Lonchura striata: one gene and its partners. The protein of the gene in region 4 purifies or fractionates together with the protein of the main gene of each other region. This does not show direct contact. Links are inferred from orthologs where the notes say so. Each region holds a gene or a part of one and is shown on either strand. Other genes may lie near its edges. The genes, in order: LAMP1, ACP2, CTSD and TMEM192.

Region 1 (7,616 bases), on a different chromosome or scaffold from region 4:
GGATTATTTAGCTAAAATATGGATTGTTCTATTATTACTACTTCTGCTGGCTTGGGTGGTGAAGATTAGATCTGAGTCAATGAGGCCCTACCTCATTTTAGGGCAGCAGGTGTATTTCACTGTTTCTGTAATTGCCGTAACATTGAGTTCTGCCTTGAAAATAACATCCAGGGAACCTACTGTACAGCGTGCTCTACTTTAAGAAAACAAAAACTTTTTTTAAAAAATACTTTTGTGGTCTCAATATTGGGGAAGCATAGCTTTTTGTCTTGAAAGACTTAAGGACTTTGTGAGTACTTTGTTACATATTGTACATATGTAAGTTGATTTGAATTAAAGAGTGAAAGACACTGTAGATCTGTTAGATAACTGTAAGGAAGATACCTTTATTGGCAATGCTTGCAAGACTGTTTATTTTCCTGACTTGTCTACTGGTATGCTTCATTTTGAAAAAGAGCTACCAAAGGAGTTTTCATCACTACATAAAGGAGAATTTACCTAAGCAATATTTTCTTGAGAGATACCTTACTAAGTTTATGTAACGTGGGGTTTGTGCATCAATTAAAAGGCCACTTCTTAAAGTAAACAAAGCTATGAGGTGACAACTTGTGGAACTGCATATTAAAAGTCCTTATTCTGTCCTCTGGTGTTATTAATTTTATTGCATTCTGAATTATTTTTGTTCCCTTGTGTTTGGAGACTAAACATGTTTAGTTTATTGTATTTAAAGCATATTTAATATTATAATTTAATGCAGACTTATTTTAATATTTGAATCTTCAGTTAATGCAAATAAAATCTTTGATGCATATTAAGTATTAATTTCTTAGCCATTGTGAGAATGTGGCACTTTTTTGAGATTTTTTTTTTTAGTGCTATACCGTTCACTTTTTATGTATATGGAAACCAATCAGATCCATCTTACCAGACTTCTAAACCAAAAAGGAATATGTGCCTCACAGAAAGGTAATGGCCAGAGAGCCTTCATCCACACTGAAAGCTGGCAGTAGTGTGCAGTAGCTGTTAGGAAGCAGTGAGAATGTAGTGCCTGCCCCTTCTGAACCCAAATGTTCTGGTTCAGTAGTTTTAAACAATAGCTTAAAGCAGTGGTGTTATCCTGAAGATGACTGAAATGGTTCTGCTTCAAGAAGCAATGTTAATTAAAAGTGCTGAGATGTGCAGTTTTTCTTAATTGCCACAGACTGAGGGCTCATTGGCCATGTTATTCTGGTTTAGCAATTAAAAATTAATTGTTCCACAGCAGTGGAAATTATGAAGCCTGTCTTTCTGTGCTGTATGCCCTTGGTATCCAACTGTATCATCCCCTGCAAATAACCTGAAGCAGCAGTACTCAAGAGGAGTTGTCCTTGGTTCTGCCTTTCTGCTTGTGGGGGTGGGGGTTTTGTCCCTCATCAACTGCTCAATTCTACCCATCCCCTCTACCTGCTTGAACCTACAGAAAATGTCATGATCTCTGAAGACTTTTCAAGACTGGTCTGCAAGTGGTTTCAGAGGTTCAAAAGCTTTGTGAGAGACTGACGGGCAAGGTAATGGTAACTTTTTCTCAGGTCCTCATTTTTAATTTGATTTCCTCAAATCTTTGTTACTGGGACATTTTATGTGCTAAACCAAACAGGTAAGCAGCTATTTTATGAGTCAGCATGCAAATCACTTCTCCATAGTGAAATAGCTACACTTGATTGCTTTTCAGTAGCTGGTGATAGAATTTGGCTGAGCAGTCTGCCTCAGTCAGTCAGTTCTTTGGGGTCACATTGTCTGAATGTACCTGTCTTCCTGGAAGATCACCCAGTGTTGAAGGTGTTGGGCAGTAGCAAAGTAACAGATGTCCTCTATAGAGCATCAATGTTCAGGTATGTCAGGGAAACCTGGATCTTGGCAGTTCAGTGTCCTTAAAACAAATGGTATAGCAGCTTCTATGGAATGACAAAAATAACAGCAGGGGCCTGGATACAGCCTGGGGCTCTAACTTATCCAAACATACATTATATACATTTAAAAAGCAATTTTCCTAAATGTGACACACTGTTATCTAACCCAACAGTTCCTGAGGGAAAGCAAGTGTGAGAATGTAGGCTGGGGCCTGACTTAAAAGCGCTTCCCAAGCCTGGCAGTTACAGCTCTCCTTAACCAGCCAACAGCCTCCTCTCTGCCCTTTCCTTGAGGCTTTTTTTCTTAGGCTCTATATTTTAGCTTTCCCTGGATTCCTTTAGCTGAACCTGGGTTTAGCACTTATATCTCTTGATCAGCTGCAGCTTTTTCATCTTATCTTTGTGCTATACATTTTTGAAAAAAAATACTACACACCTTTTAGGCAACTTCAATGTCTTAATTTGTTACACAGCTCTACCTATGCACTGCTTGAGGCAGAGGGACTGAGTGCTTGGGAAGCTGCCCAGTGGAAAAGGACCTGGGGGTGCTGGTGGCAGCAGCTGAACATGAGCCAGCAATGCCCAAGTGGCCAAGAAGGCCAGTGGCATCCTGGCCTGTATCAACAATAGTGTGGTCAGCAGGAAAATAGTCATGTTTTGTGGAAATTCTTTCCTTGTAAAATCTCCTAGCCTATACACTGTCTCCCTTGCTTGTACTCTGCCTTGGCCTCACAGGATGGTTTTTACTGTAGTAATGGCTCCTAACTCTCCTGGGTGTTTCCCATGAGCAGCCCATTCTGCATCCATGGCTCTAAAGAAAGGCCAGGGAGTGCATCCTGGTTCCTGCCTGGGCCTGTGAGCAGGCTGGTTGGCCTGCAGCTCTGTCAGATGACGTGTAGTGGCTGGGTATGGACTACATTTCCTTTCCCTCAGTGACAGCACTAATCTGGCTGTGTATATAGCAGCTTTTACAGAAGCTTTGACTTTATGTCTTACCCTGCTATCATGTTTGATTGATGTCAGCCAACAAGTTACCAAGCAGTGGGGCTGATGGCCAGCATTGTTGTGCAAGACTTGATGCATTTGTCTAACCAACACCCTGATAGTACCTGTATTGAAAGGAGGTGGAAATTGATATGGTGCTGTCTCCACACCATTAATAAAAGGCCCAGTGAGCTAATGATCCACATTATGGAATGTCCACATCATTCTCTTCTGATAACCTTAAGTTCTTTACTTACCAAATTTTACCACAGTATTGTTGCTTTATGCAACTTATATATATAATTTTTTTTTTTTTTTTTTTGTTACCAATCCAAGCATCTGCCATTTCTCCATTCAGAGATGCCTACTGATTTTCCAGCAGGGAGGCAAAATACTGCACACCAAGTTTAAACCTTGGATCTCCCTCCCCATTTGTCTTGTGGCAGACTCTGTTTTGCAGACCTTCCTCCATTCCCAGTGCAGGTTCCAAAAACAGTGATCCAAAATGAGAACAACCCATGTCCCACCTCCATTGCCCTCAACTCCTCTGCAGATGAGTCATTCAAACACTTGACCAGAGCTGCTCATTATGTCCTTTTTCAAACTAAGTTCTGCTTTTGACAATGCATGGAAAGAATAAAGATTGCTGGAAGTGTTGCAGGGTAAAACAAACTAAAATAATACATTACTGTGTGTAAAAATACACAGATAAAAATGCAGCATTAAAAAGAAATATGTGTTTATAGCAATAACATTAAAAATGAAAACTAGATCCCCATGCCCTCCTAAGGACCAACTGAACTTATCCAGGATGTTTTGGGGAAACATGACCTGTAAGTGAACTGAGACAAGCAGCAAGGAAGGGTCAAGTTCACAGTAGCTGAACTTGACTTTAGCAGCTGGGAATAGCTAAATTCCGTTTCAAATGGGTTCCGTGTAAAAACGTATGAAGGCAGCTTGGGAGCAGAAATCAGTGTGCCTCGGAGACGATTAACCTGGAGCAGCCTGTAGTGAGGAGAGGGACTCTGTGGCCGTCATTGTGAGAAAGCAGAGGCACGCTGCTACTGGCACACGTTCCAATCGTACTGGGAACGGGATTGCAGGAGCTTCTGAGGTCTCAGATGAAGTAGGCATATCCCTAACAGTGTGGATAAAAGAGAGCATTGGATTACAACGTGATCAAATAACCTGGGCTGTCCATCTCCCTTACATCTGAGAACGTTTACAAGGTAACTTCACCTTTTCTGGTTTTCCCAAAAAAAAGAGAAAAGGGATTCCTTAAAAACCATCAGACATCTGAAGCTATGTGAAATTACAACTTTTACAATGAAGCGATACGCGGAATAAATAAATTGACTCCACAACTTAATGTAGTTATGAAGTGGGTATGTATGCCAGCGCCCGGCACAAGTGAGATGCGAACACGCGTCATTAGCAGCCCCTATTTTGTCTTGGAACACACGTGGCTTATATGTATAGCTGGGTATATACAGATAGAGCACTTCAGAGACAACAGAGCATAACTCCCAGTGTTTCTCTACAGCTGGGGGTGGATGAATTCTGTGCGAGAGGACCGCAGGCGCCCCGGCCCGCCGCCGATCTCGGGGCTCGGCGGGTCACGGCCCCGCTCTCGCGAGACCCGCCCACCGCAGCGCCGCCCGCGTCACGTGACGGACGGCCCGCCCGCGTGACGTCAGCGGTCACATGACCGGCCGGGGCCGTCGCCAGAGCGCCCCGAGCGCGGAGCCGCCGCCGCCCCGCTCCCGGTCCGTGCCCGCTCCCGCCGCGCCCCGTCCCTGCGCCCCGTCCCTGCACCCCGACATGGCCCGGGGGCTGCTGGCGGCGGCCGCCTTGCTCGGTAAGGAGGGGGAAGCGGGTGGCCCGTGCGATCGGCGGAGTGGCGGGGGCGGGTCGCAGCGGCCTGAGGCGGCCCCGGGGCCGGCGGCGCTGGACGACGCAGCTGTAACTGGAGACCCTTCCGCCCGTCCGCTCCCCCTGCTGTGCCTTCCCGGGGGCTGGCTGACCCGCGGGGGCTAAGGGCTCTCGGGGCCATCCCCCCCTCCCCGCGCCGGGCCTGTGGCACCCGGGAGCCTCTGAGGGCCGCCGGGGGTACGGGGCGCTGAGGGGCGTGCGGCGGCGGCTGACCCGCGGCACGCCCGGCAGCGCCGCTCCGAGCACCTGCGCTGGGTGCGGGACTGCGCTCCGGGAGGAACCTGGAAACGCGCCTGGAGCACGAGGCTTGGAGACGTGGGGGCTACTGATGTCATTGCTAGGAAGCAGCGCTTTTCTATAGGGAATGTCGTGCTCCGTTGCTAATGGCTTTCTTCTTACCCTGTTTTGAGCAAAATATGAAACGTGTCCGGAATAGAGCGATTTCAGTGCCTTGATGAGAAGGTTTGTTAGGTCAGCAAGGCTGTTTTACGAGGAAGTGTGCCTTGCTTGTTTACTGATAGCTACCTTGGTTTTGGTTTCTTGTCTTGAAAGCCACATCACACAACACTATCAGGTTTCTGAGATGTGGCTTTGGCAGCAAAGGAAACTTGTTCAGCGGCTGGTCAAAATATTTCCCAAATAGAGTAGCAGTTGAGAATGCTTATCTGCCATCATTTTTGAGCTAGGACAGTCTTTGCGACTCCTGTAACGTCTCTTTGGTACTAAATATCGTTATCGCCATTGACCGTGCTTCAGTTTCACTGAGCCCAGAAGATGCCACTCACAAAGGGCACTGAGCAGTTCAAATATCCAGCTCTCGTGAGGCAGTGTAGCAAGCACAGTGATTTTTAGGGCTGCCAGCTGAAGTGTTGTTGAACTGGTGTCATAGTGAGAATTACTTGAATAGTTAGTTAAATATAGTTACGACTTAAATGAAGAATTGCTTTATAGTTTGCTTTCAAATTAGCTTTTGTGATTTTTATGTGGTAGCACAGTTAATACTTTTGGCCATTGCAGTAGTCTTCCTTTGCTTAATTGGCAGTTGCAAGCATCATTTGGTTCGCTATCTTTGTCACTTTCTGGCATGTAAGATGTGTTAGTTTTCTGCAACCAAGGCAATAGAATAGCTCATTTTACCACAGATTTTTAATTTTTTTTTTTATTTTATTTACTGATAGTTGGGACTTTGTACTAGTGTTTAATAGCTGTGTGTTTCTGCATAGCTTTGTACTACAGTCTTGGGGAAGGATCTTGTGGTGCAAATAGTGACCCTTTCTTGCTAGAGTGTGGTGTTTGGGTTGTAGGTGAGGGGAGAAGAATAAGAGGTAAAGATAATATATGAGCTGAAGTCTTTGGGTATTCTAGCTCATTTGCAGCCTTTTAATCATCTGAGTTAACACTGGTTAGGATAAGGTCATCATCACAGGAGGCTGAAAGATTAGTATGGGTGGAGCAGACATGGAAACTTGTTTGGTGATGCCTTGACTTCAGGACAACAGAATATTTTTTCCACTTGAATACCTCACCATACCTCACTTACTGTCTCAGTTTTCTATTTAGATTGAGCAGCAAGCACTAAGCTGAATGTTTCATGTGTCAGCATTGAGTATTTTGTAATTAATTTTCTCACTACCATCAAATATACATATGGAATTAAGACAACATTTAGGTAGTGTATGGTACATGCAGGGAAAGGGGGCTATGGGAAATTGAAGTACCTCCCCATAACTTAGCTGCTGCTTTTTGAAATACTGAGTAAGATGGTGCTTTTTTGTTGTTGAGCATGATGAGTCAGTTGGGTTGTGTGCCAAACCCAACAGAGCTGCTTGTGCTCTCTGAGATCTAGAGTACCCGTACATTTCTTCATTACTGAAACACAGACACATCAGAGAACACTTTCCTGAAAAATTAAGATTAGAATCAGACCTGTGTAGTGAATAAAAAATGAAGTGTTTGAGAATTGCAGAAGGGAAAATTAGTTTTTCAAGATAGCGTGATGCCATTTCAGAGTCACTGACGTATAATCCACATGTTTCTGTTGTGCAACTCTAGTCCAAAGAGGAATTTCAAACCTTGCTACCGATATAGAGATAGTTGAGAAACTTGATAATGAATTCCAGCCAGTGAGAGCAATATGGTGCTGAATTGTTTTTTTCAAGTTTGGCATTATTGGGCATTTGAAACTGAGACCAGTATAACTTGGTTTTCACAAAATCTAACTGCTTTAATGTTGAGCAACTTTGGAAATACTGTTTTACCAATTGCTGCCCTTGACACAATGTTTGCTTGATAGCTGCTTGAAGTGTGTTGACACAGTCTCTAAGGATCTGAATTAGTGTGCCAGTCATCATGTGATAGGTTATTTGGCTTTGACTTCATCAGCTTTTTTGACTCATGAAGTAACTTCTTGCTTGCTGAGAACTCTGCAGATTCCCTGGCTTACCACTTTTCAGATATGTTTCCAAGGTTTCTGTTCAGGCTGACCAAGGAGTTTTATTTGTCATGTAACCTGCTTCTAGATTGTTCTGTAGCGATTAGGATGTTTTCTACTCAGTAGCAGATGACAAAGCGAAGAATTGCCTCTAAGTACAGAGGAACCTGACTTAAAGATTGATTGAGCTTTGTTGCAACATTAACTGCTATTACCTCTGATAAGCCTTTGTAGGTCTCAAAGATAAAAGTTTGTTTCTAGCAAAAGGCACACCTCGCTTTTGCTTGTTTCAGCTTCAACAGTTTGTCTTTGGTGCTTGGTGCTGAAATGGATTTTTTGGTATGTGTTCTCTTAAACTTGGCAGAAGACACTTTTGGGCA
Region 2 (8,005 bases), on a different chromosome or scaffold from region 4:
TGCTTCAATTCTTGAATCCCACAAGATAGTTCTCCCACTTAGGCACTAGTTTCAGTTCTGCTCAAAACAAGAATTAGATTTCTCATCCTCTACCATTTTCTCTTCATTTCTTCACTGACTTCCCACTAAATAAATATTTTTTTTCCCCTCCTTAAACCTACTGGGAAGATCTGCAATGCTCTGCTCTCCTCTGTGCACTACCTTAGTGAACCTTTGTTCTACCCAAATAAGATTGTTGAAGACATTGACAATGCATACTTCAAAGTGATTTATTATATTACACCAAAATTATGTAAATCACCTTAACATTTTCTTTGTGACACTCCATAAAGCGAGTAATTTTGCTTTACAGGAAATCTGGTTTTGAGATCCCCAGATATAAAAGTACAAGTTACACTAGCTTTAGTGGTGTCTCCCTTTTGGTGGGAACACAAGAAAGAAATTTGTCTAATGTTCCAAATATGGAAAAAAAAGTATTTGGTTACAAGCAGGAAGTCACAGAACAAAATTGACATGGGAATGCTAAAGAAAGCCATTGCATCATTTCTAACTGATATATTTTTAAGGTCTGACTGAACATGGACGGCCTCTTTTCATTTAACAATATTGAACACATCTCTCAAAGATGAAGTAACAACAATGAAAATGTTAAGTCAAACACAGTACTTGTATACTAGCAGAAGTATGATCTAATGACCAAGTTCAACCTGTTTATAAGCCTTAATGCAAACCTGTACCTATCAGAAGGAAACACTCTCCTGAATTCCCTCCTAAGATGAAATTCCTTCACACTGAGACAGTTTCCACAGCCAAGCGAATGTGACTGCCTTCCTGAGTTATTATGCTGTAAGGAAAACACGTTAACACATCCTACAGAAGATCAGCAGAATATTCTCCCCCAACGAAACAAGGTATTTTTGTAGAGAATCATAAAATGGTTTTGAATGGGCCTAAAAAATCCAGTAAGTTCAACCCCCACCACAATGGGCAGGAACGCCTATGACTGTTCTGGAAGACTGACTTTTCTCCAAGGCTGTCAGGTGTGAGAATCTCATTACTTGGCGGGGGAGGGAAAAGAGGGAGAGTGACAAACAATCTGATAAGCTTTCCTATTCAACATGCAAAGACCCACACAGCTGCAACAATGAGACTTTCACAGCAGCTGCCTCCAGAGCAGAAAGTAGGATCATCCTTCAATGCACCCAAGACAAAGCACATTATATTCTATACTCTTCCTTAGAGAGATGGAATCACAACTTCTGAAAAACAGCAACAGTTAAAAGATTTTTAAATTCAAAACTTGAAATTTTGAAAACTTGTCAGTCTTGACAGCCATACATCTAATTAAAAGAGACATATTTCTAAGACGTGAGACCATCACCACTTGATCTAACATTCAACAACAGCAAAATTTCTTCTGATTACCTCAGAACAAGCATGCCGAGTTGCGAGTACTAATCCAAGAAAAAGGAAAAGAAAGAGCAATCAAATGCACATTACCACACTGGAAACACAACTCTTCCTGCAGGTGTAAGACAGGGACAAGGCAGCAAACTCCTGCTGTGTATTTGTACGGCTGCACGCCTGTCCTGCATAGCCTCCCCCTGCCTCCCTGCACAGCCAGCTGGTAAGGAAAACATGCTGACAAGGCACAGCGAGCTGCAGCAGCAGTAACTGGAAACAGCAAGCGAGAGCAACCTCAGGCACACTGCCAGGACACACTAATTCTGTGATAAAGTTTCCTGTCCCTATTTTTTTAGATTAGGCAATTTATATACATACAGTCCCTGCTGTGGTACTTCTCCCTGCATCCCTTCACAACATGAGTAGCTGCAAGTTTCCTCTGGCAGCTACAGAACTCCCATGCAGCTCCACAATGACCCATTTTCTATCCCCCTTCAGGCTAGTTTAGGTTTATTTCCTCCACCTTTTATTCTGGAGGTCTGGGAGAAAGCTGTTAAATATTTTCATCCTGGCTTTTCTCCTGCAAAAGTTGACCTTCCTGTATAAAAAAGAATGCATGGACACATTCATGTATGAGAAAGAAGTGTCACTGCAAGTTCTAGACTCCAAAAAGGGGTCACAACAGGAAGCCACAAGTCTGTCTGCCCTCACAAGCCTTGCAGCAGCAGTATCTTCTGGTGAATATACCACAGGTGTGGTGACAAAGAAGTGTAGCAAGGCCAATCTCCACCTGGTCCTGGCACAATGTGTACCACGTCCAATGCCCTCGTTTCACAACCCAAATGATAGAAGGGTAGAGCTCAGGAACAACTGGCTGTTTGAAAACAGTTTTTGTTTCCCTAATTAAAATATAAGTAATGTTTTTGTACTTCAGCAAGGGGGTTATGTTTTGATTCAGACTCAATTTAAAAAATCAAGCCCACCACTCAGTAAAGGAAATAAAATCCAGGTTTTCTGTTTTCTTTTGTCTGTCGTCAGGTATAGCCCTCTCTCTGACACCCAGGAACAGAAGATCAACTCTAAGTACCTTGGAACACGAAGCAGATCCAAGAAGACTCTTCCCTACAGACAAACATAACCTGCAGTCATAGCCAGAAACTGTCTGACACACAGCGATCCAAATTGTTAGTCAGAAACGTGACTCAGTGTTGGAGACTCCCTCAAAAAAAGCCTTGCAGGGAAGAGCCCAGCTGTCCCTTTAGGAAAAAGAAAAGAAGGGAAGGAATTTTCAGGAGGCAGAGCATTTCTCTTTCACTGGTGATCCAAGGTTTGCTTCCAGCCCATAACGAAATCCTGTCTTGACAGATCTGTGGACTTCAGCAGCATAAGCTTCAGTGAAACGGCACAATGAAGAGTAACCACCAATGTAAGCAAAGTTACCTTTTAACAGCACCATGCAAACCAACAGCCGTACAGAAAAGTTTCTGCCCTAGAAAACTCGTGACCTGGGTTGACAGGATGCAACAGGTGAATGACACAGAGAACTTAAAGTTGAGCAGAGGAAAGCTAACAAGTTACCACAAAGCAAGTAAACATCTCCTGACAGCACGTCCGGAGACGGCAGACAGAAACCCGGGCTCTTCAGATGCACAAGAGCCACTAGAAACTGACACCGCTCCCAAACGCCTCCGACCCCCTTAGCAAAGGGACTCTCCGACAGCGCGCCCTCGGTCCCCGCCGGCAGACACCGCGCATCGCGGCCGGCGCTGGGCTCCGGACCCAGGCCGAGTGACCCCTTCCCTCCCGTCCGCTCTCGGGTGACGCCGCCAGCCCGGCCCGCACCCCGCCGGCCACGGGTGCCTCAGCGGGACGGGCCGCCGCCGTCCCTCTTCCTTCCAGCACCTTCCAGCGCCGCTCGGCCCGGCCCGGCCCGGCCGGCAGCACGGCGCGGGCGGGCGGCGCTACGCCGCCGGCTCCGGGTCCAAGGAACGCGGCGGCTCTCGGGCCGGCGCAGGCCGCGGGGCGGGACGGCGCGTCCACGTCCCCCGCCGTGACTCACGGCCCCGCGGGCGGCGAGGAGGAGACGCCGCCGCCCCCAGAGCCAGCGCGGAAAGTTACCGGCGCGGGCCGCGGCTCCCGGCGACGCGCGGCCGCCGCCCCCCGTAGCGCCGGTGGCCGAGCCGCGGGCGGGAGGGGCGGCCCGGCCCGGCGCTGCTCCCGGCGCTGCTCCCGGCGCTCTTCCCGGCGCCGCGGCGGAGCTGCCGTGATGTCACGCGGACCCGGGTCACGTGCAGGCGCCGCCCGCCCCGCTCCGCCCCCACGGGTCCCGCGGGGCGCGAAGGCTCCGGGCGCGGGTGACTCCCGGGCGGCGGGACCGCAGCCCCTCCCGCCGGCCTCGCCGCCTGCCCGCCCGCAGCCGAGCCCGCAGCGGCGGAGCAAAACCAGCAGCAACGACAGAACAATCCCAAAGAAGGTGCCGCAGGAACAGCGCGCGTTCTCCTTCCGCAGAGAACCTTCTCCTTCCAGCACTCGCCAGGAACTTCCTCAGTGGTGCGGTATCGGTAAACAAAGAAAAAAAAAAAAAAAGAATGCGGCTTCGTGCTGTCCTACAGATAGGAAACGTAATTCAGTTTAAATTCACTAAGCATTCGAGCATGAGCAAATTAAACACGTTATTCTGTCCAGCTGAGCCTCGTGTATTGCACCAATCCTGTCCTGAAATAACCCGCTTGCTTCACAAACAATCTGGCACCCTCAAGTTACATGCCTCGAATGCTTATGATGCAGGGGGCTGCTCTGGGATAAGGTTTGGCTTGAATTATTGAGACCTTACACACAACTTTCTGACGCTGCAAATTCATGCCTCCCAAGACTTCCTTGCAAACGCGAGAGCCATGTTTCCTTCTTTTCTTAAAAAAGAGAAAGCCGAGAACCTCATTCACCGCCCTCTATGCACTTCTTAGTGGAGATAAATACTAAGTAGCACTAAATTGGTTTAAATGCCTATGATTTTTCTCTAAACACGGCACCTACGAGATCCTCGGCCAACGATGCCGATGCAGAAGCCGGGTTTCGTCTCACACTCATCTAATTCGACTAAGTTTCGTAAAGAACAACCAAAACCGGGCAAAACCTGCCAAGGCTGGGCAGCCTCTTTGCCCAGGGCCAGGAGCAGCAGGAGCTTTCCATTCCACACGGGCATCCTGAGGCTGACCCGAGAGATGCGACGATTAGCGACCCACGGCTGCCGGGCATTGCGTGCCAGGCCTCCTTCCCTACTCCTGCCCACGAGTTCGCCCGGGACCACACGCACAGCGCCAGAACGCTACGAAACCTCGCGTCCTCGAGCGAAGCTGCGGCGGCGGTGACACCGCTGCGCCCTCATTCCCGCCGCTCCTACCGAGCGCCTCCGGGGCGAAGCACCGCAGGGCCGACAGCGGAGGTCAGCGCCGGCCCCGCGGGCCCGACGCGGCCGCTCAGGGCGCCGAGCGGGGCTGTCCCGCCGCCGAGATCCTCCTCCTCGGGGGCGGGCGCAGCGCCGGGAGCGCGGCCGGGGCTGTGCGCTGCGGAACCCCGTCCGCGCGGGCCGGCGGCCGCGGCGCTCGGTTCCGGGCGGTGTGCGAGCGCCATGGCGGGCGGGCGGGGCGGTGCCGTCCTGCTGCTCCTGGCGCTGTGTCTGCAGCCGCCGCCCGCCCGGGCCCGCAGCCTCCGCTTCGTGACGCTGGTGAGGGGGACGGGGGTACGGGGGCCGGGCCGGGCCGGGATGGCCGGGCCGGGCCGGGGTGACTTGGTGCCGCCCGCAGGTGTACCGGCACGGAGACCGCTCGCCCATCAAGGCCTTCCCGCGAGATCCGCACCAGGAGAGCGCCTGGCCCCAGGGATTCGGGCAGCTCACGCAGGTGCGGGGCGAGGCGGGGCGGGCGGCGGGGGCCGGGCCGGGGTCCGGACCGCCGGTGACGCCCGGTGCCGTTGCAGGTGGGGATGCGGCAGCAGTGGGAGCTGGGCCAGGCCCTGCGGCGGCGCTACCGCGACTTCCTCAGCGACGCGTACCGGCGGCAGGAGGTCAGTGCCAGCCTCGCGGCTCGGCGGGCCGGGGCTGCGGGTGGCTCCTTTGGGAAAGGAAACGCCGGCGCCGGGACTCGTCTCCCAAGTATTTTCGTTCCTTAGCCCGTTCCCACTGCAGGAAAAAGAAGGGCCCAAGCGCAGGCTCTGTGCTGAGTCTGGCCGCGGGGCACGGATCGACCCTGTCTCAGCGCTGCCCTCGCAGCGGATGTGAAGGCAAATCCAGCCAGAGCTGTGAGACTGCTCGAGCTGCCCACTCTGAAGCCCAGGGAACTAAAGAGCAATGTTTGTTGTAGTTGGTATTTGTTTCTTACTGAAGCTTGTGAGATTTTTTTTTTTTTCTGTTACAATAGCTCACAGCAATGCAGCCCGTGTTGGCCCTGCTCTCCCCGGTGCACTTGAGGTACAATCTTACCAGAGCCTGTAAATATTAGTAGTAATTACTGACCAGCAATGACCCTCTCATTTCCTTTCAACTGTAAAGTATTGACAGCTATAGTTACCCAAAGCTATTCATTCCTCTCTCTCTCATTAGGATGTCCACACACTTTATAACAGTTCTTGAGAAACCGGTAGGTTTCTTTTGGAAAAAGTCATAGAGACCGTGTGAAACTGTGTACTAAGCACAGGTGAAATTATAAAAGATAAAGAAAAGTAAGGAAATCAAAAATCCTCCCAAGTACCTCTGCTAATAATCAACTGGTACTGAGTCAATTGAAACATGAACTGGTGTCCAGATGAGAAGCTGGTTCAGATGGACAGCAGGCAGCCAAGGCCCCTTGTCCCACTACAGGCTCTGCACTACTTCAGTTATTTTATCTGAGCTCAATTAAGCTGATTGAACAGATGGGGCAAACTAAGAATCCCCATACACTTTTCCTTGTTTCTCCCCTACTAGGCTTCCCAGTAAGAACACAGTTTGTCACAATTCAGATTACGTCCCTTCTTTGACATTTACCTCATCAACAAAACTTCCAGCATTGGCTCAAACACAGATCCTTTAATTATACTCAGTATTTTCTTTACAAACATACTTCACTCATATACAGTTTCTGCAAGTTGGAGCTCTTTTCCTTTTCTTGCTTGAGAAAGAAAAACAAACAAAGTTTTGTGCAAACAAAAGCTGTTCTGCTAACCAAGCCTGAACCCTCGTTCAAGTTGAGCAACCTCCCTTGTAAGAAGTGTTGCCTCTGGGTGACACCATATGACCGTCTGTCACCTGACTCAGCGACAAGCTGGAGCCTGGCAAAAGGTGCTGAAGAAAGCATGTACACTCAGGGCTTAATTGCTTGGGGTTTTTATGATACTCCTAGAATTAGGTCCTTATCTTTTAAAATATTTCATTTCTTCAGAGCTTATCAAGGACAAAAGCAAATCTGTCTAATGAGTACAGGGTCAGTTTTTTCAAGCCACTGTTAAGAGGTAAAAGAGGGCAGACATTGATGTTAGAGAAAGGACCAGTTGAGTTTTTTTCTTGTGACTGTAAGGTTCTGAGGTACACTTCACATGAGAGAGATTATACAGAGTATATGTATTTTATGTTTCCCTCCTAACACTTAAAAAAAAAATCACTATCTTTATATTTCATTCTTCAGGCTTTTTGTTCTTGTTTCGGATCAAACATGCTGTTTCCTGGGACATTCTTTTATGATTTCCTGTTGTTCCTCTTGTTTTATTACCAGTTTCTCCAGTTTCCCCTTAACTGTTTTCAGTACACAGATAGCAGAACACTAAAGTTTTGCCATTTTGACCTCCTGAACATTGCTGTATTTTTCTCATTTCTCCTTTTTTCTGGCTCAGAGCTCTCTCTTCTGAGCTCTAGAATGGTCAAGTCTTGGCCCATTAATCCCAAGAGCCCACAATGATCAGGTAAAATCCCAGCCCTCCCTGTTTTTGTTTACTCTCCTGTTAGTCAGATCACTCTTGTCTTTGTTTCTCAGATGGAAAAATTGAGGCTTGAAGAAGCCATTTCTTTTCCTGAGCACAGTCAGTCGTTCCTAGAACCGACAACAGAATGCAGGAGTATTTGCCTCAGTTCTGCTCTGTAAATATAGCACATTTCCTATCTGTACCCATAATTTTCTGCATCCTTGTCTTCCTCTTCTCTGACCCTTCCTCAGACTCAGACTCCTTTCTATCTCTAACCTCTGCACACTGCACCTGGGTATCTCGTTGATCCAGACCAGACAGCTCCAGTATTAGACACCAGATTGCCTTCGTGTGTCTTTACAGTTTTGTCCAGGCCAACATCAGCAGGCTTGGTCCCTTTAACTCTTATTCCCCTGTTGTCCATGAGCAGCTGCAGGGCACTTGACAGTGTTCCTGGGCGAGTGCACCAGCCTGTGCCTGAGCATCACCACTTGCAGGAGCATTAGTAATGATGCACTGTCCCTGTCCTGGCAGATCTTCATCCGCAGCACAGACTGTGATCGGACGCTGATGAGTGCAGAGGCCAATCTGGCAGGCCTGTATCCCCCAAGAGGACAAGAGATGTTCAACCCTAACATCTCCTGGCAGCCTATCCCTGTGCACACAGTCC
Region 3 (7,065 bases), on a different chromosome or scaffold from region 4:
TTTCTTCTAGCAACGAGCTTCAAAATCAGAAATGCATTTTCTTGAATTTGAAGACACCCTCTAAAAATCTCCCCCACAGCTGAGCAAAAAAACCTACATCTCTGAGCTGAAGCTTTCCTTGGCCTGTAGGTCATTGCAGTTCACAACATTGGTGCTGCTGTGATAAATAAATTTAGGAAAAAAACACTAAGGAAAGGGTGAAGGCAAACACAGAGCCATATGTAAGGACAAAGAGACCACTGTAGCAGCCTTGGCAGAGGTCTGCCAAACTGCAAATGAGAGACCTGCTAGAGCCCCCCAAAAATAAGGCACTTGAAACTGAACATGAGCCAGTGTGCTCCAGTGGCCAAGGAAACCAGTGGCCTCCTGGCCTGTATGAAAAATAGTGTGGCCAGCAGGGCTAGGGCAGGGATTGTCCCTCTGTAATGCTGCTGGTGAGGTTGCACCTCAAGTCCTGTGTCCTGTGCTGGGCCCCTCACTACAAGAAAGTCATTGAGGTGCTGGAGTATGTCCAGAGAAGGGCAGTGGAGCTGGTGAAGGGTCTGGAGGACAAATCTTATGAGGAGAGGCTGAGGGAGCTGGGGGTGTTTAGCCTGGAGAAAAGGAGGCTAAGGAGAGACCTCGTCACTCTCTACAGCTGCTTGAAAGGGAACTGCAGTGAGGTGGGAGCTTGTTTCCACAGGTAACAGGTGACAGGATGAGACAAAATGGCTTCAAGTTGTGCCAGGGGAGCTTTAGACTGGATATTGGAAAAATTCATTCCCTGAAATGGTGATAAGGCATTGGAACAGGCTGGCCAGGAAAATGGTGGAATCACATTGCCAAAGGCATTTCAAAGCCATGCAATTGTGGCACATAGGGACATGGTTTAGTGATGGACTTGGCAGTACTGGGTTAATGGTTGGGCTCAATTATCTTGTAGGTCTTTTCCAACCGAAAGTATTCTATGTTTATAAACTAAGCTGCATCAGGTCCCTGCCGGTGGGGCAAAGGGCAGATGGGACAGCCAGGTGTCACTTGCAGAGGAGACCCCAATCTCCCAGAGCTGGGGTGCTCTTCCCAACTGGAGCTATTGGAGCTGAGTCATTTGACCCCACCTTGGGAATCCTCTCAAGCAGGCACCAAGGTTGCGAAAGCATGGCCGGGCCCCAGGGGCGTGTCACCCCACACCCACAGCTGTGGCTGCAGGGGAAGATGCTCTGGTTCACCCCTCAGAGCCGCAGGGGATGCAGGGGGCTAGGGAGGCAGAGCAGCATGGAAAGGGGTTCATCCACTGCGACAAAAATAGGAGTGAGGAGGGATAGATCCCTCCATTGTGTCTCACAGGTTCTCTAGATACCTCAGCCATGGCACTCCCTGTTTGCTCCACAAACAAGGAAAAGTGTGTAAAAAAACTCTAAGACCAGGCTCGTGCTACTCTATCTTTTTAAGATAATATGGTACAACTCTCACGGTCTCAGCCTATAAATACCCAGACGTGCTCCCAGCTCCTGGTCAAACATACCCACTGTACTTCTAAATGCTTTAACATCAGGGCAAACATTCCACAGAGGAGCTGAGGGAGCCTGAATGCAGAAATCCTGTCTCCTTGCTGGAGCCACTGGCCTCCCAGCATGCAGGTACTGCAGTGTCAGCTCCAAAACTACTGGTGCCAAGGGACAGAGACAGATTAAAAACTCAGGGGATAAGACCCCCAGTCCCTTCCCATCCTGCAAGCACCCAGGAGAGGATCACTTTTGTAACATTCCCTGACACAGCTCCATTCTCACTCTTTCCCAGTAAACCACTGGAAACATGGGGCATGTAAGTCACTTAGAACAGCTCAAAATGCAGCAACCTTCTTACACTGGTATGAGAGCAATCCCAGATGAGGACACAAGCCTTGCTATAATGAAGCTCAAGCTAAGGCTCATTCATAACAGCAAAGCTTGCCTCTAATCCCTTGGAATCAAAAAAAAAACAGACACAGCCTGGGTCCAGAGTTCTTTACTCTGCTGAAGCACTTTGCTGTGCACTGTGTGATGGTACATGACTAGTATGGCATGTTGTACTCACCGACCCATCCCTGCACACTGGAGCCCACTCCATAGCCACGGGATTCTAGCAGAGACTGGCTAGACTGGAAACGCTTGAGGAGGAGCTACCATAGGTGCCCCAGCCTGGGGGCCAAGGCGCAGGTTGTCTGGCCAGCTACAGTGTCCCAGCCACTTCAAAGAGAAGGGAGGAGGACTGGTACTTCACTTGCTCTGCCAGAGGCTCCAGGAAAGCCTGTAAGGGACATAGGGGATGCCTGGGCTGGTGTCAGGATTGTCCTTTTTGTCTGCAAAGTACATTTATAAAGGGGTTTAGAGCCCTTCAAGAGGGTGGATTTGATTAGATGGGGCCACGGTCGGGCTGGTTTATGTCTGAGCCGCTCCTGCCCACGAGCATCCAGGGGGATGAGAGGAGGAGAGCCATGAGCTGGAGCAGCAGCAGCAGCAGCAGCAGCGGCAGCAGCAATGCCTCTGGGGTCAGGCTACCGGTGCTGCGGCCCCGCTATGCCTTGGCCCCTTGCCCGATGAGCCACACGGGGTTTTGCTGAGTCACACAGCGCCGCGGGGCCGGGAGGGCCATGGGCTTTGCTGACTCACGGTCAGTGGCACTCGCTTGACCACACACCCGCAGGGGCAGGAAGGAAGCAGGTGCTGGCCGAATAACGGGACCCACCCGGTCCAGCCAATGCCTCCGGCGATCGCCCCAGAAAACCTCATCCCAATGGCAGCTGTGTCCCACAGGCAGGCAGCAGGTTTCCTGAAGCCCATCAGCTTGACCAAGATGTGGCAATTTGGAGAGCTCGTGGGACAAGATGCAGCCCAGGGCAGAAATGCCCTCTAAAAATACTCAGGATGGATCACAGTTGCGGGGGTAGCATGCACAGACCCAGAGCAGCAGGGTGAGGCCGTGGGAGGATTGAAGAGGCTTAGGGACAGAGTATGGGAAGGAGCTGGTGCAAGTGAGGAGACAGTAACATGACCCAGCAATTTTACAGAAGTTGCATGAACACAAGTGTGACAGGAGAGGGACGGGAACCTCATCGCAAAGCTAGGGGTCCCCCACTCCAGCAGTGTCCAACTCGTCCCACAAGCTGCTACTTTCCCATCCCCATGACTAGGCACGAGCAGGAGCAGGAAACAAGCCCTCCCAGCCCTCATGACTTGGAAGGGAAAATGTCTGTAAATCTGATTTAATTTTTATTGTTTTCCTAGCAAGTCTCGTGGCTCTGTAGGAGCTCTGTTGTTGCAAACTGGAGAGAGATTAGCTGTGGCCTCCTGAGTTGGTGGGGTGACACCTCTGAACACTGTTAGGACACTGGTGGTGGTGAAGAGCCCATCCCGGTACTCCGCAATGCTCAGTCTGTATTTTGAGGAAGGGGCAGACCTCGGGGACTGCTGGTGGCTGGTGTCCCCCCGGGCTCTGCCCTGCACCGGCATCGTTCTCGGTGGCTGCAGGTAGCACAGGACCCCCACAGAGCATTTTCAGGGGCGGCAGATATAGCTTGACATCCCCCACTGCACCTCCCAAAAAAGCTGTGGCCTAGGATATGTCCATCTCCTCCAGAAACACCCAGCTCAGAGGGACTGGAGGGATGAGTCCCCCAAACTGGAGGTGTCCGGAGAGCAGGGAGAAACACGGGGCTGGGGGCTGCACCATGAAAGCGCCGTGGTGACAGCGGCTGGGGCCGAGGTCCGTGAGCGGCCCAGCGCTGCGAGGAACTCGGGGTGTGCTGCCTGGCGCTGTGCATGTGTCCTGTGTCCCCCCCGCCCCACTCCCCTGGGAGAAAAAAAAACGCCGGATAACCTGGGAAGAACAAAAAAAAACCCAAAAAGGCAGCCGAGCAGAAGGAAGTCGGAGGCAGGGCAGGAGGAGCACGCGCGGCCGGGCAGGCATCTCGTGATCGATTTCCCGGTGTTTATTCCCCTTTCCCGGGGGCTGAGTCACGGCCGGGGGTCAGCCCGGGGGGGCCGTGAGGCGGCGCCCCCGGCCCCGCCGCCGCGCCCGCCCCGTCCCGCCCTCACGTGACGCCGCCGGTGCAATTTTAGACCGTCAGCTGACGCCGGGAGCCGTGGCGAGGGCCGCTCTGCCTACAAAAACAGGCTCGGGGAGCGGCGGCGGCGGCGCGGCCTCTCAGCTCGGGACCTCCAGCCTCCGACCGCCAGCAGCGCCATCGCCGCCATGGGCCCCCGCGGCCTCCTCCTGCTGCTCGCCCTGGCCGGCTCCTGCGCCGCCCTCATCAGGTGAGGGGAGGGGGTTCCTCCGGGGCTGCCGGGCGCCCTGCGTTGGGAAGGACGTGGGGAAAAGCCCCCCTGGTGCTGCTGCAGCGGTGGCCTCCGAGCTCCTCTCGCAGCCCTCCATACGGGTGGCTCCCCCTCCATCAAAGCAAGGAGGGGAAGGTTCGGAATATCCCCCCCATCCTGCGCACGGAGGGGCCTCGCCCCAGCTTCCCCTGCACCTGGAGGCCTCTGGCAGCCCGCCGGCCTTTCCCCCTGTCCTCTGGTTTTGGGAGAAACACTGAACGCAGCGCGGCGAGGGGGATCTAGGGTAGGGTGCTGGCAGGAGCCCAAACCTCACCCACCTCCTCCTGGCGCGTTCCCTGTTTTGAGTGGAGCCCTGCTGCCCCCCTTCCCTAGGTATCCTTGCCCTGCACACCCTCTTTAACAGGTGTGCGTTTGCCGTCCTCACACAGGATCCCCCTGACCAAGTTCCCTTCCATGCGGCGGATCCTGAAAGAGGCGGGCAGTGAGATCCCAGACATGAATTCCATCACCGAGGCCATCAAGTACAAGCTGGGCTTTGCCGGGGCGGGTAAGCCCACTCCGGAGATTTTGAAGAACTACATGGATGTGAGTAACAGCCCCCCTGCAGACCATCCCCTGCACTGCAGCGGACCCCAGCACAATGTCACTTGTAGAGGTACCCATCCCAGGGGGTGGTGAGACATGCCAGCCTCCCACCAGCCAGGAAGGCAGAGGAGTTGATCCTGTAGTACAGATTCATGCACCTCCATGGCTTAGCGAGTGGGTACCAAAAGGCGCTTCCTATCATTACTAAACTAAAAATACTAATACTAGTAATTACAGCAACAGCAAACAACCCTTTGCCAACAAGCAGGAGCTTTTCAGTTTGTGACCTATTTCCTTTCCCCTTTGTCACTAATTAACAATCATAAATAGGGGCCTACTCACTTACAATCATTCTTAGCATCTTCTGGCCGTTTGAACTCTACTTCTGGCAAGGCAGAGGCATAAAAATCATGCTCTACTCCTTGAGGATGCTAGCTTACTATGGTACTGAGGATGCTAGCTTACTATGGTACTGGGGATGCAGGACCCTTCCTCTCGCTATCCTTCATCTTTTGCACTGCCCTGGGAAAAGCAACCCTTTATCTCCACTTTCTTGTCAGCAGCTTAGGGAGCAAAGAGACCTGGGTGGTGGCGGAAGGAGATAAAGGGCATGAAGTTTGCCCTTGCACTGCTGCCAGACACGTGTGGGGTTTAGTATTTCAGGGTTCCTTACGGGGCAGCGTAGGATATGAGCATTAGCTGGCAGAATAAAACTGGGCCCAGATATTTAGGCATTAGTTCAGCACATGTTCCCGCTGCTGCCCTTCCCCAGCAACTGTTGTCACCCAGCCAGCGCTGTCCTGACCTGGGAAGGGCCACCGGTGTTTCAGTTGGCAGTGTTGAAAGCCAGGGCCAGCGGTTGTGTCACGGTGCTGTCTCTTGCAGCCACAGCTCAGACCACCACTCAGGGCAGCACTGTTTTCCCTTGTCACGGAGGCACCAATCCAACCTGTGGTGGCAGATAAGGGACCACTGGATCCCTCCCTGACAGGCTGAAAATACTTTTGCTGCTGCCAAATAAATTCTTGGGACAAGCCCCACTAGCCTGCCTCATATGCTTCCTGTCCTGGGACCCTTCATGGGTCTATGTGTGTGACAAACAGAGCCCCTGTACCGGGCGTTAATTTTCAAGCCCCAGCAATAATTATAGAAGCACTGGAAGCAATGCTGCCTCCCCATTATGGCTAATTGCAATGTTGCAATGGATTGTTAATTACTTAGTGAGCAAGCCTTGCAAACTAAGCGCACAGGAGGTGAACAGCTTTGATAATCCTGTTTCCTTCCCTTCCTCCCTTCCCCCCCTCTTAATTAAGTACACGTGGGGTTTGGAAAGGCTACTGCCTGACTTCTCTTGCTAGGAGCCTTTTCTCCAGAGCCCTGACCCAGCTGCTCACCAGGCAGGACACAGCTCCCTGCCTGTTTGGGGAAAAATGAGTCCAAGTAGCACCTGCCTAGCATTCTCCATTCATCCTCTCCTCTGTGGAGAGAGGGTTACTTTGCCAGCAACTCAGCCATTCTGGTTTTTTCCAGTCCCAGCAGAAATGTAGTCTCAGAGCAAAAATGTGTCCATCAGATACCTGTGCTACAGGGACTTCTCCCAGTCTTTCACCCTGGAGGCCTAAATCCATCTCTGGTGATGCTGCTCATGCTCTTTGCTCCCACCACTCCTCCAGTCTTCCACCTCTCGAGGCTGAGCATTTGTTTATTCCCCCACATTCCTGGAGCTCACCAGCAAGCACCAAAACCTGCAGCAGCTGTACCTCCACCTGCAGTGGGCAGTGCTGCTGTTCACTGTTTCTCTGCAAGCACACGAGCAAAGCAGCTTCCCAGCCAGTTTCAGCTTTTCAATAACACAGGTGTTTTGCTTGGCTTCCTTCCATCATTTTTTCTCATCCCTGTAGTGAACTGCATGCTAGCCTGCAGATCTTCCCCCTTCTCTTCTCTGCCTCCATGCCCCAAATGTTCTCCCCCGCATGCACCCATCCCACTTGTCCTCGATTTATCCTTTTCACACCCACTGTAATGAGTTGTGAACGCTGAAGGGGAACCTCCCTTCCAGAGGGCAAAAGGCTGGGAACCCATAGGTGCCAAAACCAAGAGGAGGGCAATGTCTAGATAAGAAGCTGATCCTCTGTTCAACCCTAAGAGATTTTTTTGATTTTTAATCCCTGCTTTTAGCTAGCTG
Region 4 (7,691 bases):
AGTAAACTGAAAAAAAATGAAGGGGAGATTTAAGTCAAAGATACAAAAAGGTTTAGTCTAATAATTCTGGTATAAGCAAGTACTCACAGAATTAGTAGTTTATTATGGTGTTTCTGGAGGAGAATTTTCACTCAGAATTTTCAGTCCCTTGCCAATATTTCTATGCAGAAGAACATTGGTATCCAAACTAATATACTGAGGTCAAAAAATTGGGAACTTCAGAACTTAAAATATTCAAAAGAATATTTGTTGGTATGTTAATATTTAACCATACAGCCTAAAAAGTTATTTTACACAAGCTAGTTCTTGACAAGTTCATTTCAAGATTTTCAGACAACTGTACCCAAAACTGAGAAAAAAAAAACTGGGGGAAGAGGGTGGGAGGGGAAATCAATTATTTTTTCCTTGAAATTTCAATCTTCTGTCTTTATTTCAATTTTATCAGTAGCTTTCCCAAGGTAATTATCTCAAATATTCCTCTTTTTTTAGAAAATTACCCTAGAAAGTATACTGTGGCAGGCACATTCTTCTCTCTCTCAGGATTTTTTCATAGAGGAGCACAGAGGAAAGAAAGAGAAAACAATTTCTATTTCTACTCCTTGTTTTTCTCATGTGGAATGTGTTTGGAGAATTGTTTACCTGAGGGTGATTTCTTGATTGGATTCTGGTGAGGATTGTTTGAGCCTGATGGCAAATCCAATCCACCTGTGCCTGTGTCTGGATGAGAGAGAGAGTCACGAGTTGTGAGGGAGTTAGATATAGTAGTTAGAAAAAGTAGGTTTGTAGTTTTAGTATCTCCTTCAAATAGTATATTAATGAATTCTAGGATAGTTAAAATAAAGAAATCATTCAGCCTTCTGAACTAGAGTCAGACATTGTCATTTCTTCCCACCGGGTTCACCTGCTTTTACAATAGTATATAATCTAAACTCAAATATTTTTATAAAAAGCTCTGTTTCCCTTTATAAAGTTCAAATAGATAGGTGTCATATTGTGATAGCTTTATAACAGAATGTAAGCAGGAATATGATTTTGAAAAATCGGAAGAAAGTGAAAAAATTACTCTGCATAGGGAGTACTTTTTGTTGCATTTTCACCCTGCAAATTAGGCATTTGCTTAAATGCTAAACTATTTAAAACTCAAACTTATTTTAGCACAAAGTAAAATATATTGGGATAGTTAATTCTGAACCTTTATACTTCTAGTGTGTATTTTTAAAAGGAGATATGAAATTGAAAAGTTGTATCATTTCTTTAACCTCTATTTGTTTTTTAATAGATCTAGGAAATCTGTAAATTTTTTTTAAGTAATCAAGAGTGCCCATTCTGTTTTTACACTTTTTCTCTTTGCTATTCTTTTGCTCTTTGTCTCATCTGCATAAAGCAGTCCAAAATCTTTTTCTACAGCCATATTATCTACCCTTTTTCGTCAGTCCTAACTCTGGACTTCATTATGGATATGTAAGACATTTTGCAAAATCATTTGTACTAATAGACAAGCTGAAGTAACCCATTCAAATTTGTATATTAATCAGTGAACGACTGAAAGAGTTTTTATCAACACCAGTGTAATGCTCCTCTCTTTTTAATAGCTTGCATTTAAAGGCCACAGATTTTTTTAATGGGCACTTTATTGAGGAAGCAAAATCTGCATAGCAAGTGGCAGTTTTTGATTACATGATTACCATGCATAAATAGCCCCGTGCTGCTCAACACAAAAACTTGACTCTTACATGATATGAAAATCTGAAATTATACATGGAGTGAAAGGTTCCTTTGTATTAAACATATTCAGCAGTGAACTGGTTTTTTAACCTCCACAGGATTTAAAAAATTTACAGGAGTTTGAAATAAAATGAGTACTTCTGAAGTGTCTGTAATATGAGGCTAGAACATAGACTGCACTTACTGCAGTATGGCTTTCAGGATTATTACAGCCAATTCAGGCAAATAAAATTTTCTACTATTATTTTTACCTTTTCACTTCCCATTTATATTTTAAGTAATTTGGGGATCTGTCACAACCTCATATTCTCAGAGCAGAGACTGTATTCTGAATACATAGAACTGAATACAGTTTAAGTACTAATTGTACTTGTAGTATGAAAAAGAAACAGTAATGATAATTACATCTTATAGCTGAATGTGAAAAAGTTTGTGAGCCCAATCCTGTTTCCATTCATGCCAAATTTTACATGAAACTGAGAGGAAGAAAATTAGATATTATGTCTCTTTGTGAGGATACAATTGTGACAATTAGTCCCCAAATATTGTAATTATTATGGATATGGCAAAGGTAATGCCTAAGTAGAGCATTTATTCCTGTGTATCTAATGTCTAAGTAGAGCTTTCCCTAAGGGCAGCATAGTATTGTTGGGCCATACCACATCTTTTTATCTAACCCTTAGCAGATATCTTCATCATTACTGAGGGAGCTGCAGTGGAAAGAATTTAGGACCATGCCATATCTTTATCTGTTTTAGACTGCCCAGCATTAGATCATCCTTCAGGAGCCAGACTTGCAAGTTTGTGTACACTAATATTACAATGTCTGCAAAATTTGATGCAAGATGGAACAGGAATGGACCAGAAGAGAATGTTACTTTATTAGAACCTATCTACATCACTAAAACCTCTCACTATAAAAAAATACTGTGAATCTAGTAATTAAAATCATACATCAAAACCAAAACAAAGATTGAGTGATCTACTAAGAACAAAAGCAGACTACTACTGTAGAGAATACATACATGTTTTACATAAACCAGTTGAAACTGGCAATCACATGCTTTTAAATATGTTAACTGATATTGTATGTAGTAAGTATTTACACACTTCAAATATTTAAACTTGTATTTTTCCCTGTGCTCTTCAATAGTCCATTGAGAACTTTTCAATTCCCATTCAGTAAAAAAAATGTTTACAATTATATATAAAGTTATAGCTATTCAAATGAGTGCTAATAAATGTTAACCTACTGGGACTTTAGGATTTTAAAATTACAGTTAGAAGAATTTTTTCTTTTGATTTTATTGTAAACACTTGTCTAATGGCATATCTTACACACACTGCATATATGTATGCAAATTGTGGCCTCACTTCACTGTCACTGAAAACTTTTGTCAGCTGCTTACTGATCAGTAGGATCTGTGTTCTTGTCAGGAATAAAAAAAAAAAAAAAAAAAAGAGGAAGCACAATAAGGAGGAGGAAAAAGAAACATTTAGGCTGAGAAACTGGAACAGAGCATGCTCTTATCAGAGGAGCTGGGCTTTATCTCAGTCAAACCAGCAAATTTAAGGCTTCTTTTTAATTTAAGATAGTTGTCCAGTTCATTAAATGTGTGTATCTGTATTAAACAAGAACAAATGAATGCAAGTGATGAATGTAAATTATCTGGTGCGAGGTTTCAGTTGAGAATTTTTTTTCTAGAAAAAGCCAGGAAAAGTCACCAAAACTGAGATAAAAAAACTTGGAACTTCTTCTCTGAAGAAGCTCAAACCTTAAGAGCAGTTTTCATCCCTTGGCACTCAACATGCTTTCAAGAGAGACAGAGCCACTACAGCTGTTCAAGGTGACAGTCCTGGCTTCTCTAAAGTAATACATAGAACACTCACAACCTGGAGAGGATACAATCTTACTTGTCTTTCAGACCCCCAGTTACAGCTTTGACCCTGTTCAGAGTCCTCACTAGCATTAGCTGAAGGTTAAGGGGGATGTTCATATAGAACAAACAGAAGGTTAAGAAACATTAGCATATGAACAGAGCACATAACATATAATAAATATGGTGCTTTGGAAATTCATACTTTGCACATGCTTGAACAAACAGAGTGTCATTCTGATCCTTGTCATTCCAGAGAGGTTACAGCTGAAAAATGCCACAGAGGCTAACAAAAATACATAAGTACTAAGCACAAGTAAGTGGTTGAGGAGTATGCAGAATACACGAGGCTGTCAGTGTCAGTAACACAGAGATCCATAAGGGAGTAGTCTGGACACTGTGAGTGGCCACAGTCTTTCTCAGCATGATCATAAAGGGTTGGAAAATGAAATTACCAAGCACACGTTTTAAAGAAAACGCATTTCCTGCCAAAAATATACAACAGGCCCAGAAATGTCTTAGAAAATGTATAAAGTGAATGCTAAAACTTTTTGTGATCTGAAGGGGCAGGCAAATCCACTGGAAACAGTAACTAGCTGTATAGACTCCATGCTTTCCGCAAGAGCAATTGGAGGTGAGAAGACACTGCTCTGCAAGCCGACACCACACTACGCTGCCTTTACCCCACACTTTGGCCAACCATCTGGGGTACTTTCCCCTCCCAGCGCTGCCTCCCGACCCCCGGCCCCGCAGGGACACGGAGCCTGCTGGAAGCGGTCTCCGTTTGGAATTCAGTCGCGGGCTGCCGAGAGAACCGCACCGAGCACGGCCACGGGGCAGCGCCGCTCCCGGGGCGGGCTGGCGGCGCGGACCCGTGCCGGGGCGGCAGGACGGGAGCTCAGGCTGGGGCTGGGGCTGAGGCTGGGGCTGAGGCTGAGGCTGAGACCCGTCCCCGGCCCGGCCCCGGCCCCGCGCCGGCAGGGCAGGGCCGCGTCCCGGGGCGGTGCCGGCGCGGCGCGGGCCCAATGGCGGCCGGGGCGCTGCCGGCGGGGCGGGGCGGGGCGGGGCGGCGTTGCCCGTGGCCAGCCCGTGGCGGCGGGGCCGCGCTGGGGGTGCCCATTAAACGCGGCCGGGGCGGCTGTGGCGGGAGGCGGCGATGGCGCTGGCGGCGGGGCGGCGGCGGCAGGACCTGGACAACGTGAGCGCGGCGGGCGGGAGCGGGGCCGCGGCCGCGGGGACCCCGCCCGGGTGAGCGGCCGCGCTGCCGCTGGGAGTGGGCGCCGCCGGGCGAGCGCCGTGTGCTCCGTGTGCTCCGTGCCCTCTTCCTTCCGCCTCTTCCGGGCTGTTTCCGTCCCGGCCGCCGCAGGCTTTGTCTGTTTTTTCCGGCGGCCGCCGCCGGCCCAGGCGCGTCCCCGGTGCCGCTCTCCGGAGCGAGGAGGCCGCCGCGGCCCCTTGCTCCCTGCGCTGCCCCTCCCAGCCGGGCTTGAAATATCTCCGAGGCGTTTGGGCCTGGCTTGTTTTTAATCGAGATTATTAGCCTCTATTCGGGGCTGCTCATGTGGTTGCTTCAGGTTTTCTGGGTTATTTTTCCGCAGGCGGGTTACGTGCTGTTCGCTGGCATGACCACGGCGTTTTTGTGTTTGTTTGAATGTTTCTCCCCGCCCTAGCTGGAAGCCGGTGTGGGCAAGGCTTGCTGGCTGTGGCTTGTTGCTGCCTGCCCTTCTCCTGCTGGCTCTTGTGGAAGCGGTCACATGCTGGAAGTGGAGCAGGGAGCCAAGAGGCTAAAGCTTTAACCTGTGCTCAGCAGCAGGGCCAAACAAGTCTGGATTTAAGGCATTTTGGCTTTTGACAACTGTGGTTTTGGCTCATCTTAATGAAATGAAACCAGTGTTTACTCCGGTTAGGAAGGACACTTACTGGATTTTCTTCATGACAGATTGACTGCATAGGATCATCATATTCTGTGCTTTAATTCCCCTCCTCTCCATGTTGTCTGTAATAAAATTTATTTAAAGAGATTATGTAATCTAGTGCTTCCTAATACTAGCTGTATTTTAGGCTACAAAGATGGACTGTAGCCAGTCTTGTGAGAAAGTAGCATGGTCAAAGCTCTGATAAAGTTTTGTCTGTGAAGGAGTGCCCTGATCCCTCATGGAAATAAGGGAATGGTGAAATACAGAAATGGTGAATCATTTGTTCCCATTAGACTAAGGATAGTGTCTTAAGAAGAATTGTTGGGTTTGTGGGACATGTGAGCTGTTAACCCCATTATTGATTCTGTGATCATAGAATGGTTTGGGTTGAAGGTTCTTTAAAAATCTATTTCCAACCCCCCCCTGCCATGGGCAGGAACACTTTCCACTAGACCAGCTTGTTCAAAAGCCAAGCCAGCCTGGCCTTGAGCACTTCCAGGAATAGGGCATCTGTAGCTTTACCAGGCAACTGTTCCAGTGTCTCTCCACCCTCATGATAATCAATTTTTTACTGATGTGTAATCTGAAAAATTAGGTAAGATGCCTTGGCTGCTGGAGTGTTGGTCCTTGCTTTCAGTGCTTAAAATTACACCTGTCCTGTGAAAATGGGTGAAGGAGGGCTAGCGGGCATCTTTGCTCTCATGCTTCTGGATTTTATATCAGTGACATAAGAGGAATGTCATTTGTAAACATTTAGGTGTGCAGTAAAAGGTCATTTTACCAGGCAGGTATTTTAGTAAGGGTCATTTTCAGTCCAAGACTGGGCTAATTAAAAGGTATCTAATAGCTGAGGGTGGTCTGTTCACACTCCTCTATGGTAGGGCAAGTGTATTGTTCATGGTTCTAAAAGAAAACTGGTTGTTGACTGAAATAACTCTTTATGACTATTTCCTTCACTTTAGGCAGTTGTCTGCAGGTGAAATTACACTTGGGAGACAGTCTACATTGTCCTCATTGACATGAGGTATAAACCTAGGTGTAATCCCTCTCTTCCTGTGTTAGTGTCTAGAAGGATGGAATGTTTCATTTGTCTTGAGGCTTATGCTGCTTTTTCTCATGGCAAAGAGAAGTCCTCAGTTTATAAATCAGAAAATAGTCTGGTGAAATGTGGCACATCTGAATAGTCAGAAGTCTGGAGTGGGATGGGGTCTGCCCTTGTCTTCTTCTGGGCTCTGGTTGGTATATGAAAAAGAGCAGTCAAAACTTGAGTGGAAATCTTGAGTTGTTTTCTCTTCTGAGGCAAAGGACATAACAGGATGCTAAAGAGAAAATGTAGCAGTTGGCCATCATAGTGCCTTGTGTATGTTTCACTTAATATGTATTGAATGGCCTTGTCCTGACCTGAAAGGAGCAGGGATGCACAGCTGTGGGGGAAGTTCCTTGTCCAAAGTTTTTCCCTTCACTTGTACTTAGTTTTATCTTCTACTTAGTAAAAGACACTATATTTGAACTGAATGTGAAGGCAAATAACTAATACTTGGCTCCAATGTGACAAGGGCAGGCTGCATTCTCTCTAGTGTAGGCAGTGCCTTGCTCAACACTTTGGTAGCATCTTCTTGCCTCTATGAACTACTGCTTCTTTCCTGCTTGAGTTGAGCTCTAGTTACTTCTGCAGGTGTTTTGACATGTCAGTAGTATTAGAGGTTGAATACTCAAAACTGTTACTGTTACACTGCAGCTTTGTTGTTGCCTCCAACTGCAGTTGGACAAAACTAAGAACAACAAAGAATTTTGCAGTAGCTGTATAAAGCATGTGAGAAAGACTTCGTTATTTTTTCCCATGTTCCTGACATCTCTGGGGTCTGAAGCTCAGATACTTGTTATACATTTTTAAAACTGAAGTTCCTGAAGGCTCAGTGTGATACTAGGAAGTAGATTAGTGCTGGATTCCTCAGGGACAGAGTTCTCACATGTGATGAATGTTTACCAAGAGTTTAAGAGGTTTCTCAAGATACTAACCTAGTGGGGTTTTCCTCCCTCAAGGCTTGATTTGCTCACAGAAAATTCCTAAACTTCTGTGCTTTACTTTTAGAGCTTACCTTAGAGCTATTGTTTGCCTTCCCCTTCTGTTCCAGGGTTCCTTGGAAATAACACAGAGTTTGGAAGATGATCCTCT

What was found.
Region 1: the proteins of TMEM192 (region 4) and LAMP1 purify together in Homo sapiens (affinity purification with mass spectrometry; 3 studies listed by BioGRID and IntAct, with this or other methods). This does not show direct contact. The link is inferred for Lonchura striata from reciprocal best matches to the Homo sapiens genes TMEM192 and LAMP1.
Region 2: the proteins of TMEM192 (region 4) and ACP2 purify together in Homo sapiens (affinity purification with mass spectrometry; 3 studies listed by BioGRID and IntAct, with this or other methods). This does not show direct contact. The link is inferred for Lonchura striata from reciprocal best matches to the Homo sapiens genes TMEM192 and ACP2.
Region 3: the proteins of TMEM192 (region 4) and CTSD purify together in Homo sapiens (affinity purification with western blotting; 3 studies listed by BioGRID, with this or other methods). This does not show direct contact. The link is inferred for Lonchura striata from reciprocal best matches to the Homo sapiens genes TMEM192 and CTSD.

Annotation. Positions count from the first base shown.
Region 1 is NC_134604.1:91,477,274-91,484,889, reverse strand, and holds the start of LAMP1 (lysosome-associated membrane glycoprotein 1), read left to right. Parts: upstream 1-4,599; 5' UTR 4,600-4,694; coding exon 4,695-4,731; intron 4,732-7,616. UniProt on the Homo sapiens protein: Lysosomal membrane glycoprotein which plays an important role in lysosome biogenesis, lysosomal pH regulation, autophagy and cholesterol homeostasis.
Region 2 is NC_134608.1:39,107,843-39,115,847, reverse strand, and holds the start of ACP2 (lysosomal acid phosphatase), read left to right. Parts: upstream 1-5,000; 5' UTR 5,001-5,032; coding exon 5,033-5,128; intron 5,129-5,207; coding exon 5,208-5,303; intron 5,304-5,379; coding exon 5,380-5,466; intron 5,467-7,869; coding exon 7,870-8,005.
Region 3 is NC_134608.1:46,500,149-46,507,213, reverse strand, and holds the start of CTSD (cathepsin D), read left to right. Parts: upstream 1-4,065; 5' UTR 4,066-4,212; coding exon 4,213-4,274; intron 4,275-4,723; coding exon 4,724-4,880; intron 4,881-7,065. UniProt on the Homo sapiens protein: Acid protease active in intracellular protein breakdown. Plays a role in APP processing following cleavage and activation by ADAM30 which leads to APP degradation.
Region 4 is NC_134606.1:38,857,550-38,865,240, forward strand, and holds the start of TMEM192 (transmembrane protein 192), read left to right. Parts: upstream 1-4,678; 5' UTR 4,679-4,758; coding exon 4,759-4,800; intron 4,801-7,650; coding exon 7,651-7,691.